2 linked regions of the Medicago truncatula genome follow. Each later gene encodes a partner of the first gene's protein in a complex. Links are inferred from orthologs where the notes say so. Each region holds a gene or a part of one and is shown in the gene's direction. Other genes may lie near its edges.

Evidence for each region.
Region 2: vacuolar protein sorting-associated protein 54, chloroplastic (region 1) and vacuolar protein sorting-associated protein 51 homolog share a complex: the UniProt entries of both Arabidopsis thaliana proteins name them as parts of the golgi-associated retrograde protein (GARP) complex. The link is inferred for Medicago truncatula from reciprocal best matches to the Arabidopsis thaliana genes VPS54 and AT4G02030.

Annotation. Positions count from the first base shown.
Region 1 is NC_053043.1:20,989,349-20,997,398, reverse strand, and holds the start of vacuolar protein sorting-associated protein 54, chloroplastic, read left to right. Parts: upstream 1-4,719; 5' UTR 4,720-4,923; coding exon 4,924-5,700; intron 5,701-6,371; coding exon 6,372-6,434; intron 6,435-7,151; coding exon 7,152-7,231; intron 7,232-8,050. Other genes in the region: uncharacterized protein, read right to left, coding at 1-114, 253-916. UniProt on the Arabidopsis thaliana protein: Acts as a component of the GARP complex that is involved in retrograde transport from early and late endosomes to the trans-Golgi network (TGN). The GARP complex facilitates tethering as well as SNARE complex assembly at the Golgi.
Region 2 is NC_053042.1:42,783,336-42,791,234, forward strand, and holds the start of vacuolar protein sorting-associated protein 51 homolog, read left to right. Parts: upstream 1-4,646; 5' UTR 4,647-4,795; coding exon 4,796-4,978; intron 4,979-5,064; coding exon 5,065-5,204; intron 5,205-5,406; coding exon 5,407-5,461; intron 5,462-5,609; coding exon 5,610-5,717; intron 5,718-5,955; coding exon 5,956-6,054; intron 6,055-6,167; coding exon 6,168-6,245; intron 6,246-7,669; coding exon 7,670-7,747; intron 7,748-7,899. Other genes in the region: uncharacterized protein, read left to right, coding at 1-490. UniProt on the Arabidopsis thaliana protein: Acts as a component of the GARP complex that is involved in retrograde transport from early and late endosomes to the trans-Golgi network (TGN).

The DNA of each region.
Region 1 (8,050 bases):
TTTCCTTTCCATCACGCAACAGCATGTAGCTCCCTTGGTCAGTAATTTGAGTGCCTTCTTCTGCAATTGCATTAGCATCAAAATTTTCCTCGCCCTCAATAGATACCAGCAATCCTGCACAAACAGAACTACAAGCATCACTATCTAGAAACTAAACGACATTCTCATTTACAACAATTTCAATTTCAGCCACAAGTTAAGCTGAAAAAGAAAAGCAAAAAGATACACCAGTGAGATCGGTAGATATCTTACCATTAACCTCAACAGTTTGGTTCATTGTTCGACTTCTTTCTGTTTCTTGTTGATCTTCAACATATATTTCCATCCCCTCATATACATCAGATTGTTCGGCATTCAAAGCAGAAACACCACTCACATCCTTGTCAGCTATTACTTGCTCCGTTGCATTGCACTTTTCAACTTCAGTCCCACAGACAACTTCATGTACAATATTGGTTTTGCCATCAACTTTATCATTCCCAATTGGCATATTCAATATCGAATCTATCGTTTCCATAATATCAACAACAATATTAGAGTTGGCATCAAATTTATCATTCCCAAAATTCGACGTTTCCTCAATATCAACAATACTGGAATTGCGGTCAACTTTACCATCATTCACAAACGGCATGTTCAATATTGAATCAATTGTTTCCAAAATGTCAGCAAATAGTGATGTCGACGGGTGACCTGCTGCCTCAGCAGCAGCATCCATAGCGCAAGAGTCAGTGCCAACTATTGATTGATACCTCGCTTCCCTTTCCGAAACCACTCTATCCAACTTAACTGCGGCGGCATTCTCAATCTCAGCTTCTCCACTCAAATGCTCAACTATCTGACCACCATATTCCACAGACTCGTCTACGGTTTCGCCAACAACTGTGGATATATACCTCTTTTCTACTTCTTCCATGGATATAATAAACCTCTAAAACTTTTTTATATCTAACAAAAATCAAAACTTCAAATTTTCAATAAAACATTCAATTTTCATTGACCAAGCTCAAAAAATGAAATCTATAGAGACCCTAATGCAATAGTTTCCTAAAATAAACCTAGTTTGATAACAACAAAAGTAGAAACGATAAAGAAACAAAAGGGAAGAAAAATAGAGTAATGTAGTTACCAGGTAGGATTGGAGTTTGCGATGAAAGACTGCGACTGGGTGGTGAGTGAAAGTGACGCGAGGTTTCAGCGGTTCAAGTTCTTACCCTGCACACAAGCGATTTATCAAATCCATAACATACTATTACTAGTAACTACTTCTTCCTCATTTGACTTTATTTTTATCCCTAAATATTTTTCTTTTTTGAATAATTTTTGTTCTTATAAACCCCTTTTCAAATTACAATGTATTTATTAATTTTTCCTAAATATACTCCTAATTTATACTACTAACTTGTTTTGAAATATAAAAAGTCAAATTTAATATGCATACAAACAAAGGATAATTTGATAATATTAACACACAAAATAAACACATTAATTGCACTAACAACTTTTCTTAAGAAATTTGAAAAATGCAAAAGGTATATAGGAACGGAGGGAGTACTATTTTTTTTATTAGATTATTCCATCGAATCAGTTTTTTATTTTGAAGGGAAATAGTCAATAGTTAGTTAGTGCTCACTTGGACCATGATATATCCATTAATTTTACAAATCATCATACACCTAATATAAAAAGTTCATAAATCGATTGACGTTTTGTAAATGGATCATGAACGGTTGTCATGATCACTCGGTTGTTAGGGACATCATATTTTATATGTAGAGATAGAGGCGGGGTCACGTGAGGACATAGAATGGTCATAGTTTATCCATTAATTTGTGGAAATGATTTTTTCTCCTAAACGTGTCTTCTTTTCTCACTGGCGACAAACAGTGAACATGAATGTGAACCTTCATCATCCACCATCATTCATGTTGCGATCGGAAACACCTCCATCCCTTCTCCCTGTCGATCTCTCATCTTTGATTCTTTATTTTCTCAATCTCTCCACAAACCTTAAATGAGTAGTTGTAAGTGTATCTCTGATGGTTCATCTATTTAGTAATAGTAATGATATTACTTCAATTTTCTTTTGTTTGTTAATGAATTTGATTTTTTATTTGGTTTTCAACTTTAATTTTCCATAAGTCTAATCAAATTGAAAGTGATTATTCATTATGAGACTTAATATATCATTTGGTCCGCTTATTTTTTGTTTTCATTTTGATCCCCTAACTATAAAGTGTTTCAATTTGGTCCCTCAAATCTTCCGTCGTTTACTATTTTGGTCATCTCCGTTAGTTTTTGAATGTATAATATTTTTAATATGATTATAACTTTTTTTTTTTTGAAACGGCAAAATATTATTAACCAACAAACCATATCTAAGCACTAACAAGCTTGGGTGGAGAAAAAAAAAACAAAGAAGGGGAAATCGGTTGCCTTACTAACACCCATATCTAATTATTTTCCTTTTCTTCTTTCTCATTCCTTATTCTTCCTCTTGATCTTCATCATCTTCAACACTATGTTCATGTAAAACCCAAAAAAAACTTAAAGAAACAAACCCATAATTTTTTTTGTTGAATCCTTCACTAAAATCTCAAATTAATTGGATTCAATTACTTAAAAAAAATCCAGAATTGAAACACAAGAATGAAACCTATCACCCTCCTTCTTCCTCAATCATCATCGTTCCTTCACACCCATCTCCAGATCTCTATCCTCTCTTCCACAAAACCATCTCCACGTTCGATCTCATCACTGAAATCGTCACCAACCTCACAATCCTTCTCGTTTCCCTCCAAAGTTTCAACCTTTAACCTTTTCTTAAAACTCCATTTCCCAACTCATGCTAATTCAAATCCACCATTTCCTAAAAATCCGAATCCAAATTTCTAGTTTCCACCACCAATGAATCCGAATTCAAATCTGAATTGGAATTCCTTCTCATATTCTTCCTTTGGAGTCTGAATCTGAATTCAAAGAGAAAAAGTGTAGAAGAGAGTCAAAGAGAAAAAGGGTTGAATTTGAATCTCTCTATTCTGATAGTTTGAACCGTAGTAGGTCTGTCAAAAAGTCAGGTAAGCTAGGCAAGCTTGAAACCAATAAGAGTGGACTCAAGAAATATGGAAGGAAAAGCTGATGCTACAAGTGCCGAAGAAAAAAAAAGGGTTAAATATGATTTTGATCCCTATAAATATATCAATTTTTCGTTTTAGTTCCTCTAAAATTTTCCTTCAACTTTTAGTCCCTTAAAAATTTTCAATCTTCACTTTTGGTCCCTCCTTTAAAATAAAATCATATGTAGAATTCGTATTTTTGAATTAAATTTTGCAGAAAAATTCATAATATTATAAGAATATCTCCCAAAAAAATTAGAATTTTTTAAAAGAACATGAATTTAATATAAATTTTTATATTTTTGATCGTTAAAAATTCATATTAAATTTATGTTTTGTTAAAAAATTCTATTTTTTTTTTAAATATTTTTACAATATTCTACACGTTTCTGCACAATTTCATTCAAAATACTAAAATTAACTTTAAAATAGGGACGAAAAGTAGTGATTGAAAATTTTATAGGGACTAAAAGTTGAATGAAAATTTTAGAGGGATTAAAGCGAATAGTTGGTATATTTATAGGGATCAAAAACATATTTAACCCAAAAAAAAATATGGATGTTCGTGAACACCAAGTTGTATTGAATGTTATGGTTTGTTTGTGTATAATACTTTATACTCTATATATATTTTGGTTTTAGGCTTAATATATCATTTGATCCCTTAACTTATTTTTTGTTTTTATTTTAGTCTCCTAACTATAAAGTGTCTCAAACTGATCCCTTCTTTTACCGTTACATTTTTTGGTCCTCTCTGTTAGTTGTTAACATCAAATGTCTAATGTGAACCGTATTTAAAGGTGGTCTATCATAAACCTTATTAAATTTTTAAATTTTAACCCTTTAATTTTTTCTTAAAAAGATAATTGTTGGATCAGGTAGGGTCTATTGTATTTTATTATGAACCACTAACACCTAATATTTTTCTCACTTTTCTTCATCTTCTTCATCAATTAACCCAGAAAAAACAAAAAACTTAGAAGAACAAAAAACATAATTTTTTCTTCAAATAAAAAACATAATTTTAATTTTTTCTTTAAAATAAAAACCTAAAAATTACTACCACACCATCGCCATCTTTCTTTCATTTTCCCTAACATTCTTAAAAGAAATTACTACCCAAAATGAAAACAAAAAATAAGTTAAGGATCTAATGATGTACAGTTACACTTACAATAAGAATTTAGAATATATTATAATGAGACAAAACAATTAACAATTTTTAATTATTAATTAATTAATTTTGATTGAGTTGAGATTTTGGGATGTGCTACAAGTATTTGATTCTCCTTCTATGCCAATTTTAATAAACTAGTTTGCCTTCTTACAAAAATATATTAATTTTATTGTAAAAAATATTAATTAATTAATTAATTAACTGGAATATTAGGGAATTTTTTTATTTTTTGAGGGAGGGATATTTTTCTCTTCCCAATAAATTGTTTTTATGGGCAATTAATTTAATTGGGATATTTTTAATGCAAGAGATTTGAAGCCACACTGGCACACACTACAGTTAAACCATACCGGTTTAAACTACCATCCCAAACCCGGTTCAACCACCGGTTTTTTGCATACAAAGATCTTCTTCTTTCTTTTCACTTCCACTACTCCATTTTCATCCATTCCTCCTCACTGCAAAAACAATCTCCACTCTCTCCTCTCTTCTTCCTCCAGATCCCAACCTTTTTCATTCACATTTCCCTTTCCCCTTGCACCCCCCATCTCCCCTTACACCCCCTCTCACTAACTAAAACTCCTCACTATAAAATCAATGTCCTCTAACTAACTCCGCTCCATAATCCAAATGGATTCCCCACCTTCTCAACAACCGTCGTGGGGAAGATCACCAACCTTTTCCACCACCCATCTCAACCGCACAACCTCCACATCTTCATCAACCTCTTCCCCATCATTCTCCAAAGACTCTTCCACAATCCAATCTCTCTCTTCCATCCTCAACAACCCTCTCTCTTCCACCACAATCTCCTCTCCCGAATTCACCCCTATCTCCTCCACCAAATCCACCTCCACTCTCACCCGATCCGATTTCCTTCCATACCTCTCTTCCCTCTCCGATCCCTTCCACCGCTTCGACGAAATCCGCAAACACGCTAACAACGAGATCTCAACTATCTCCGACGACGGCGGTGCCGGAGAAGCACTCGTCGCGTGTCTCCGTGAAGTTCCTTCGCTATACTTTAAACAAGATTTTCATCTCGAAGAAGGCGCTACGTTTCGTGCGGCGTGTCCGTTTTCTACGTTTGCTGAGAACGCGATTTTGCAGGAGAAGCTTTCGCAGTATCTTGATGTGGTTGAGCTTCATCTTGTGAAGGAGATCTCTTTGAGATCGTCGTCGTTCTTTGAAGCGCAGGGTGAGTTGCAGGATCTTAATGGGAAGATCGTGGAAGGATGTACGAGGATTCGTGAATTGAAGGATACGGTTAGGCTTATTGATTCGGATTTGGTTGAGTCTGCGAGGCAGATTCAGTTGCTTAATGGTACAAGGACGAATTTGTTGGCGCTTCAGCAGAAACTTAGGCTCATACTATATGTTAATCAAGCACTCTCTGCTCTCAAATTGGTTCGTTTTTTGAATTTTTGTGTGAAGATTCTATGTTAGTGTGTGCTAGATTTCGCTTTACAATCCTCATTTTTAGATTTTGAGTTTTTTGATTCAATTCATTGATTTTAGAGAAGTGTTTAGGTTTTGGTGTTGTGAATGTTAGAAATTTTACTGAATAATGTTATTGAGAATTGTGGAACAATGACACGTCAACACTGATAACAATTACTGAAAATTGCATGATTGAACGTAATCACACATGTGTGTCGGACTCTGGACACGCCTTCGATTAGAAGTACTATCGGTGCTGCAGATATTCCAGTTAATCTTATGCAGTTTTAGTTCTGTTAGCTAGTGAATAATTCAGAGTTTTGAATTTCGAATGTTTTTATTTTGAATCGTTGTAAGAATGGAGAGGTGTTACTGCTGTAAATTTGGAAGCTATACTGAATAGGATTAATGGATTATTGAGATTTGTGGGGAAACTATTTGCAGTTTTCTTTGGGTTGTTGTAGTAGCAGTTCTGTGAGCTTGTAATTAATCAATTTATGCAACAGGTTTCTTCGAAAATTAGTATGGCGATAATTTTGTTTGATTTTCCTATGTTTCCCTTATTAGTTTAGTCGTTTTTTATGAATGTTTGACAACTGGAAATCCATTTTAAGTTGATATATTTTGCTGTGATACAGCTTGTTGCATCTGCAGATTGTGCTGGAGCACTGGATGTAACTGATGATTTGCAACATTTGCTGGTATACTTTAATTATTATATGATATTTTCTGAATATTATTCTTAACTACTACTTCTTGTTTTCATGATCGTAGACTTAGTTTTGTTCTTTATCTTTTCATCAGCACTATATGTGTTTGACCTATCATGACTAGGGATGTATCTTAAGTCTTGACTTATTATGATTTTTAGTTTAGTCAACTTAATAGAATATGATGGAGAACTCAACAGAAGTAATTCCTAAATTTTATTCAGTTCAAAAAATCCTAGATACAATGTAGTTGGTATCCTCTACTTAGAATATATTTTCCCCTACAATTATAATTGCTTTGAAGCATTGAAATTAGAAAGAAGGTTTATGTTGATTCCATTATCCATATTGATCACGATATATTTACTGTGATATGCGGAGGTACTGTATTATGTTCCTTTTCTTTGCATAAGCACTGAACATGTTTAGATGTTACCCGATCTTATTGTGGATGGGTAATGTCTTAGTAAATGTGTGTAGCTGATATCAATCAGTGTTTGGGTAGCAGATACCAATCATAATATTGAATTGTGCCAGTTTCCTTTTAAGTTACAGCTGACATCAATTACTTACATTGTCGAACTTATCTAGTTTCCTTTTTAGTCTGTTAATGGCACATTCTATGTTTTAACATCAATGGGATTCCTGAAGGACGAGAAGAAAATTTTATGCTAATTTTAGTCTTATTGTTTCCTGTAACTTTGGTAGGATGGAGACGAGCTCACTGGCTTGCATTGCTTTCGTCATCTTAGAGATCATGTGACAGGCTTTATAGAATCCATAAACAGGTACACCTTTTTTGATGTCCTGATCTATCAAGATTGTGTATTCCGTTAACCTGCATCTGAAAATTCATTTGACAGTGTTTTCTACTGCTTTTTGTGATTTTTGATCCCCTGTAATAATGGGAAGAGAATAGGGTTGAATTATAAGGTTTCTTTGGATAGCTCTGTTTTTGCTTTTGATCTTTAGATGGTGATAGGGAAGTCTACACTCTGCTAATGGCTTTGATGGGTTGAAAAAATGTTTTGGGCTTGCATTGCACTTGGCCTATCTGTGAAATCTTTTGTTCTTATGGTAGAAAAATAAATTGTTTTGATAAAGAAGTAGGGGGATGCAACCATTGAAAATCAATATGCCATCCTAAAAGAAACAGAAGTGAAAAATAAGACAGTGGAGAAAGATGAATCCACATTTATCAAGTTTACCAATTTGACTCTCAGAGTCCTTAAGCACCATATAGAAGCCAAAAGCACCCATTTAAAAGTAGTGAATTTTAACTTAGGTTTATAAGAATTTGTATATAAATTCTTGCCTAGATTTTGAATATATAAATTTATAAGAATAGGTGCCTGTGGATACAAAACATTTGTACCGCATGAATCTTGTTCAGTCAGCTGCTGATTATTCAGGTTGGTCTATCCAAGTAAAACACATCATTTTGATTAATAAGAAAGAAAAGAGAGATACAGAATAATAGAGAAACGAAGCAGCAATTGAGATCAAGGTAGCCAGGATCGAGTCCCAGCACGTAGGATCGCACGATCTTACGTGCTTTCCCCACCCAAACGAGCTGCGACCTTGATCTGGGTCGTTTTTGCCATTTT
Region 2 (7,899 bases), on another chromosome or scaffold:
TCTAATGAAAAATCATGAAGCTCGGCCTGCTGGTGTAGCTCCATTCCCTGAAGCGAATGCATCACAACACAACCATTTTGGAAAAGCTCGTGGTCGCGGTCGTGGTCATGGTCGTGGTCATGCCCACAATCCTAATGGAAAATTCAAAACCCCATTTTTCCACCAGAAGTGGAAAAATAATGAAAAGATTGAAAAGGAAAAAGGTGGACAAAATAGCAAAACAAATGAAAATATATGCTATCGATGTGGTGGCAAAGGTCATTGGTCTCGTACATGTCGTACTCCAAAGCATTTGGTTGACCTTTATCAGCAATCACTGAAAAACAAAGGAAAAAAGGTTGAAACTCATTATGCTTATAATGATGGTGATGATGCTGATTATGATATTTATGGTGACCTGGATACTACTCCTTTGGATATTGGTGATTTCTTTGAAGATCCAAATGGAAAAATTGATCACCTTATTGGAGATGGAACCGTGAAGAAGTAGTTTTTTTTTATGATAGTAATAAAGTCTTATGTTTTAGAAAGTTTTGAATTTCTCCATGTTAAGTGTGTCTTTGAATTTCTCAATATTATTGACAATAAATGTTATTTCCTCGTCGTTTAAACAATTTCTTATCATTCTTATTCTTTTTTTTTTTTTTATAGAATGAGTAGCTATGGAGAAATGTGTCTCGCTGATAGTGCAACTACCCACACAATTCTCAAAGATAAAAAATATTTTTCTTACCTATTAAAAGGAGAATCAACCGTTAATACCATATCTGGTACTATAAAGATAATTGAAGGCTCCGGAAGAGCTAATATATCATTATGTGGAGGGACAAAATTATATATTAAGAATGCGTTGTACTCACCTAAGTCTCATAGAAATTTATTAAGTTTCAAAGATATTCGCCTAAACGGATACCATCTCGAAACAAGAAACGAAGTAAGTGTTGAATATCTTTGCATCACAAAACATGACTTAGATAGAAAATGTGTATTGGAAAAACTACCTACTTTTTCCTCTGGATTGTACTACACCTACATTAGTACAATTGAAGCAAATGTAATTGTAAACCAGAAGTTTACAAATCATGATAATTTTGTGGTTTGGCATGAACGGTTGGGCCATCCCGGATCTATAATGATGCGAAAAATAATTGAACATTCATGTGGTCATCAATTGAAGAGCCGGGAGATTCTTCAATCTAATAAATTTTCATGCACTTCTTGTTCACAAGGGAAGTTAATAACTCGACCATCACCAACAAATATTGGAAGTGAATCTCTAAATTTTTTAGAACGCATACATGGTGATATTTGTGGGCCAATACACCCACCGTGCGGACCATTTAGATATTTTATGGTTTTAATCGATGCATCAACAAGATGGTCACACGTTTGTTTATTGTCAACTCGCAACCAGGCGTTTGCGAGATTGCTAGCTCAATTAATTAGAATAAGAGCTCACTTCCCTGATTATCCTGTAAAGAAAATACGTCTTGATAATGCTGCTGAGTTTTCATCTCAAACATTCAATGATTATTGCATGTCCATTGGAATTGACATTGAACATCCTGTAGCACATGTTCATACACAAAATGGACTTGCAGAATCATTTATTAAGCGTATACAGTTAATTGCAAGACCACTTCTCATGAGATGTAAACTCCCAATTTCCACTTGGGGACATGCAATTCTGCATGCTGCAACATTGATTCGCATCCGGCCAACCAGTTATCATGACTCTTCCCCTTTGAAATTGGTTTTTGGTCAAGAACCTAATATTTTCCATCTGCGAATATTTGGATGTGCGGTGTATGTTCCAATTTCTCCACCACAACGCACTAAGATGGGTCCTCAAAGAAGGTTGGGAATATATGTTGGATATGAATCTCCATCTATTATAAAGTATCTCGAACCCACGACAGGAGATTTATTTACAGCTCGATTTGCTGATTGTCACTTTGATGAATCAAATTTCCCAACATTAGGGGAGAGAAAATGCAGCTGAAAAAGGAGATCAGTTGGAATGAACCTTCATTGTCTCATCTTGATCCTCGAACTAAACAATGTGAACTGGAAGTTCAAAAGATAATTCATTTGCAAAGTTTAGCAAACCAACTGCCAAATGCATTCACTGATCCAAAAAGTGTGACTAAATCATACATACCAGCTGCTAATGCTCCAATAAAATTGAATGTTCCTGTTGGACTATCTCATATTGCAAACGAGTCTCAACCACGCATGAAGCGTGGCAGACCAATCGGTTGCAAAGATAAAAATCCTCGTGCAAGAAAAGGAGCTAGAAGAAAAGACGGCCCAAATGAGGATATAGAAACTTCAACAGACCCTTCTGACATAATCAATATTTCAGTTCCAGAAGAAGCTGATCAGGTACCTGACATACATGAAAATCAAGAGATCTCAATAAATTATGTCACTAATGGAATACAATGGAACCGACATGAAGTCAACGTTGACGATATTTTTGCATATAATATAGCGCTAAATGTAATGAATGATAACGAGGATCATGAACCAAGGTCTATTAAAGATTGTAAACAAAGCGAGAATTGGCCAAAATGGAAAGATGCAATTAAAGCAGAATTATACTCGCTCAACAAGAGAAAAGTCTTTGGACCTGTCGTCCGAACACCTAAAGGAGTGAAACCAGTTGGGTATAAATGGGTGTTTGTGCGAAAACGTAATGAAAATGGTGAAATTGCAAGATATAAAGCAAGACTCGTTGCTCAAGGATTTTCGCAAAGACCTGGGATTGACTTTAATGAGACATATTCACCTGTAGTTGACACAACTACTTTTAGATACTTAATTAGTCTTATAGCTTATGAAGGGCTAAATTTGCATATGATGGATGTGGTTACTGCCTACTTGTATGGCTCACTTGATAGTGACATCTACATGAAGATCCCTGAAGGATTTAACTTACCTGATACAAATAGTTCAGGATCTAGGGAAGACTACTCCATAAAATTAAATAAGTCTCTCTATGGGCTAAAACAATCTGGACGCATGTGGTATAATCGCCTCAGTGAATATTTGCTAAAGGAGGGATACAAAAATGACTCTGTTTGTCCATGTATTTTTATGAAAAGATCTGAAAATAAATTTGCTATAATTGCTGTCTATGTTGATGACATAAACATTATTGGGACTCCCGAAGAGCTTCCAAAAGCCATAGATTGCCTGAAGAAAGAATTCGAAATGAAAGATTTGGGAAAGACAAAGTTTTGTCTCGGATTGCAAATCGAACATTTAAATAATGGAATTTTTCTGCATCAAGAAACTTACATAGCAAAAGTGTTAAAACGTTTCTACATGGACAAATCTCATCCATTGCCTACTCCAATGGTTGTTAGATCACTAGATGTGGAGAAAGATCCTTTCAGACCTCGAGAAGAAGGTGAAGAACTACTTGGTCCTGAAGTACCATATCTTAGTGCAATAGGAGCATTAATGTACCTTGCTAATTATACGCGTCCAGATATATCATTTTCTGTTAACCTATTATCAAGATACAGTTCTTCACCTACACAAAGACATTGGAATGGGGTCAAGCATGTACTTCGTTATCTTCGAGGTACAATGGATATGGGTTTGTTTTATCCTAAAGTACCCAAACTAGAATTAATTGGTTATGCAGATGCAGGTTATTTATCAGATCCTCATCATGGTAGATCACAAACAGGTTATTTGTTTACAAGTGGAAATACAACAATTTCATGGAGATCTGTGAAACAGACAATAACAGCAACATCATCAAATCACGCGGAACTTTTAGCATTACATGAGGCAAGTAGAGAATGTGTTTGGTTAAGATCCATGATTCAGCACATCCAAAAGAATTGTGGTTTATCCTCCGGAAGAATGGATGCAACAATAATTTACGAAGATAATACAGCATGCATCGCTCAGTTGAAAGAAGGATACATTAAAGGAGACCGAACAAAACACATTTCTCCAAAATTCTTTTTCACTCATGATCTTCAGAAGGATGGTGATATCAGCATTCAACAAATTCGGTCGTGTGATAATCTTGCAGATGTTTTTACAAAGTCGCTCCCAAGTAAAGTTTTTGAGAAACTTGTACTAAGAATTGGTCTTCGCCGTCTAAGAGATATTTGTCTTCATGAGGGGGAGAAATAAATGTGTTCTGCGCTCTTTTTCCCTTCACCAAGGTTTTATCCCATTGGGTTTTCCTGGTAAGGTTTTTAACGAGGCAATTCAAACTCAAAAGGATATTGTACTCTTTTTCCTTCACTAGATTTTTTTTCCCACGGGGTTTTATTTTAGTAAGTTTTAATGAGGCATATCCTCGATGGACATCCAAGGGGGAGTGTTATAAATATTAATATTGGATGTCCAAATAGCAAATGTGTTAGTGGGCCATACTACTAGGTTTTGGGCTTAGTTCATAAGCTACTCTATTTCCCTATAAATAGAGCTCATTTGTAACATTGATACACACTAGTGAATAAGAATATTTCTCTCTTCTTCTCCTTCTCTCTATTACTGTCTCTATTTACTTATATTCATAACAATAAAGATATTTTAATCAAATTAGAGGGGGGCGCGAGATGTGCTTAGGGTGGAAAAAGAAATTAATTCACTCTAACTAGAAAAACTGGCCAAACCTAAAATACGAGTCCATTTTCACTTAACAAAAAAAAAAAAAGCATCGTCTTCCCCAAATCTCAAAAACCAGTTTACCTTCAATTCATCATTTCACAGATCATAGCAAGAGAAATCAAATTCGCTTAACACATCAAAAACAGTGTTCAAAATGGGTACATCAGATGAAGTACAATTGGACGATAAAGCAAAGAGAATGCGCGATCTGCTTTCCAGTTTCTACTCTCCAGACCCTTCCAATTCCTCCAACTCTGCGATCACTTCCCCTAAATACGCTTCTCTCGATGACATTAACTCCTCCGAATTCGATCCCGATCAATACATGAACATTCTGGTAACATTAGTTTCATTGCATTTCATTGAATTTTTATTAAATTGAACTGAATTGGTTGATTGATTAATTAATTGATTATTATGAAGGTTTATAAATCGAATTTGGAAGGTTTACTTCAACGACATGTTGAAATGGCAGCTGAAATTAAGAATCTTGATACTGATTTGCAAATGCTTGTTTATGAGAATTACAACAAGTTCATCAGCGCCACGGATACTATAAAGAGGTATGTAGACACCGACATTTCTGATCAAAGGTGTATCCGGTGTGTGTCTGACACTGACACATGCGATTGCATTTCAAATAATTATCGGCGTGTTAGTGTTGTGTTCGGTGTCTTGTGTCGGTGCTTCATAGCTATTTTTTCTCTTGCTTTATTTAGAGTGTGTTTTGTGAAAGAACCGTTGTATTTGGGTTTTGTTAAACAGGATGAAAAGTAACATTTCAGGGATGGAAACTAATATGGAACAGCTTCTCGACAAGGTAACTGTAGTATTAGATTTATGGAATTCAATTTCATTTTGACTGTGTGTGTGTGTTTGCGCATGCGCGCTTTTTTATTGAAAAGTGAAATGAAAAAAGGAAGATAAGGGTTGAATTTGATAGGATTCGCATTTTTCTTGCAATGTAGATAATGTCTGTTCAGTCAAGGAGTGACAATGTGAACACTTCTCTATTTGACAAAAGGGAGCATATTGAGAAACTGCATAGGACTTGTAATCTTCTTCGCAAAGTTCAGGTATCAAAGCAATTGTCCATGTCATTGTTCATTGTATGGTTGTGTTTCCACATATCAAATCCGATGCAAGTTGGATTTTTGCTGAATGGACCTAACAATGAAAAACTTATTCTTTTAGTGTGGCCCCTGTGTTGAATAATCTTTCTACATCTTTATAATGCATGATAGTTTTACCTTTTAACAAGTGTTTCTGTGATATGATATGACTGACACACTTTTTACCCTTGTCGAAGAGTAGTTTATATATGATCTTCCTGATAGACTTGGCAAGTGCATCAAGTCAGAGGCATATGCAGACGCAGTCAGGTTTTACACCGGAGCAATGCCGATTTTTAAGGTTGCTTTTTCCTTATATGGTTTCTAATTCAATCCTTTGATTATTACTTTTACACGCAACATATCAATCTAGGTCTCAGATGAAATATCTTGGTTATATCCTCTCTCTATCAGGCATATGGAGATTCATCATTCAAGGACTGTAAGCAAGCATCTGAAGAAGCAATAGCTAATGTAATAAAAAACTTGCAGGTATACTTCTATCATCTTATCGTGCTCTTCAGAAATGGGTTTATCAGTCAACATTATTTCAAGCCAGGGGAAATATGGAGTATCAGCCCTTGGATTCAAATTAATGGTTGAGATCAAAATACTCAATTAACATAATCGTGTAACTTATTTGCACACGACCTCTCACAACTGTTCAAGTCCATAGTCACTCATGCCTTTTCATCTTTCCACCAGTAACGATCAACATGGAAAATACCAGCAAGCACCAGCTACTACCATGCCACCGTCTTTCATAATATCTATAATTTTAGTAGAAATAGTTGACAATTACATGTTCATCTACATAAGGGATTTTTTTTTTTGAATGGCACATAAGTGAATATTTTTTGTCTTTTGATTGCAACTTTGCATTGACGTTAGGTACGAGGAAAGATTGAAGTTTTTTTTTTTTTTTTTAATTCTTTTTGACTAATTTACTTACCTCCTGTAATCGAAACCTGCAAAACATGTAAAAAATTCCCAATTCATGTAATTCAATTCAATCCAATCCAACACATTGAGAGAAGGGGGAAAACAAACGAAAATCAATTTCAATCCAATACACAAACATAATGTTTTTTACAGCAAACCCGTTGGTCTTTGATTTGAGATTTTAATGCTCAAGGAAGAATAGAAGTAGCATCGTCAACCATGATTGTAGAAGATAAGGAGCTGCAGTTCACAAAGGGTGAAGGGAGAAAACGGTGTGTAAGAGGAAAACAGGGGAGAGATTAAGTGTCATGTGACTCACTGAACTCATTTAGTAAGATGATTTAATCTCAACCATGAATTTTATTCCAAGGGCTGATAATTGACCCTCTCACTCTCACATAAGAATAGGCTTTCTCACTAGATACACTCCCTATATATATATGACCCATGCAAAAAGAATACTAAGACTAAGAAGGTTCGTTCAATAATGTAACCAACCCTTATAGAAATAATCCCAAAATAAGATGAACCGTGTCTCTTAAAATTACTAGGATCATTTTATGACTTTACATTTCAATGAATAAAGGTTGTGTTTCATTTATTTTAATTGATCTCAATTTGTTAATATTCTTACATATAATATAAGTTGATTTTTTTAAAAAATCTTTATTTCTTTAATGATAGAAGTGTCCTACCGAGAGTAGGTGTCGGCTCTCAATCCCTTGGTCTGTCTGCAAGCTATGTCTGAGCTAAAAAAAAAAAAAGTTTTTTAATTGGGCATTACTAAGGGGTGTATGACACTTGTTCAATGCATGTTCAAGGGGTGTTTGGGATGTCACCCAACACAGCAGTTTGGAGAGGTGTCCTTGCTTTATAGGATGACAGTCAACTTAAAATCAATGTTATGCTAAAATCAAATAGTTAGTTTATTATCATTGGTATTGTGATCTGACTTTTTTCTTCTCTCTAACCAGGGGAAGCTATTCTCAGATTCTGAATCAATACAAGTGAGAGCAGAGGCTGCTGTGCTCCTTAAGCAGTTGGATTTTCCGGTTTGTACTGTTTTTTATTTATTTATGGAATTTCATTTTGTACTAGTAGCTAGTAAATATTTTCTGAATATTTAATTTTAAAGAGCCAGCCTTATGATGTGAAATACTTCTTTTTATTGCCCTGTATGGTTAGTTTTGGGTCCTTCGTGTGC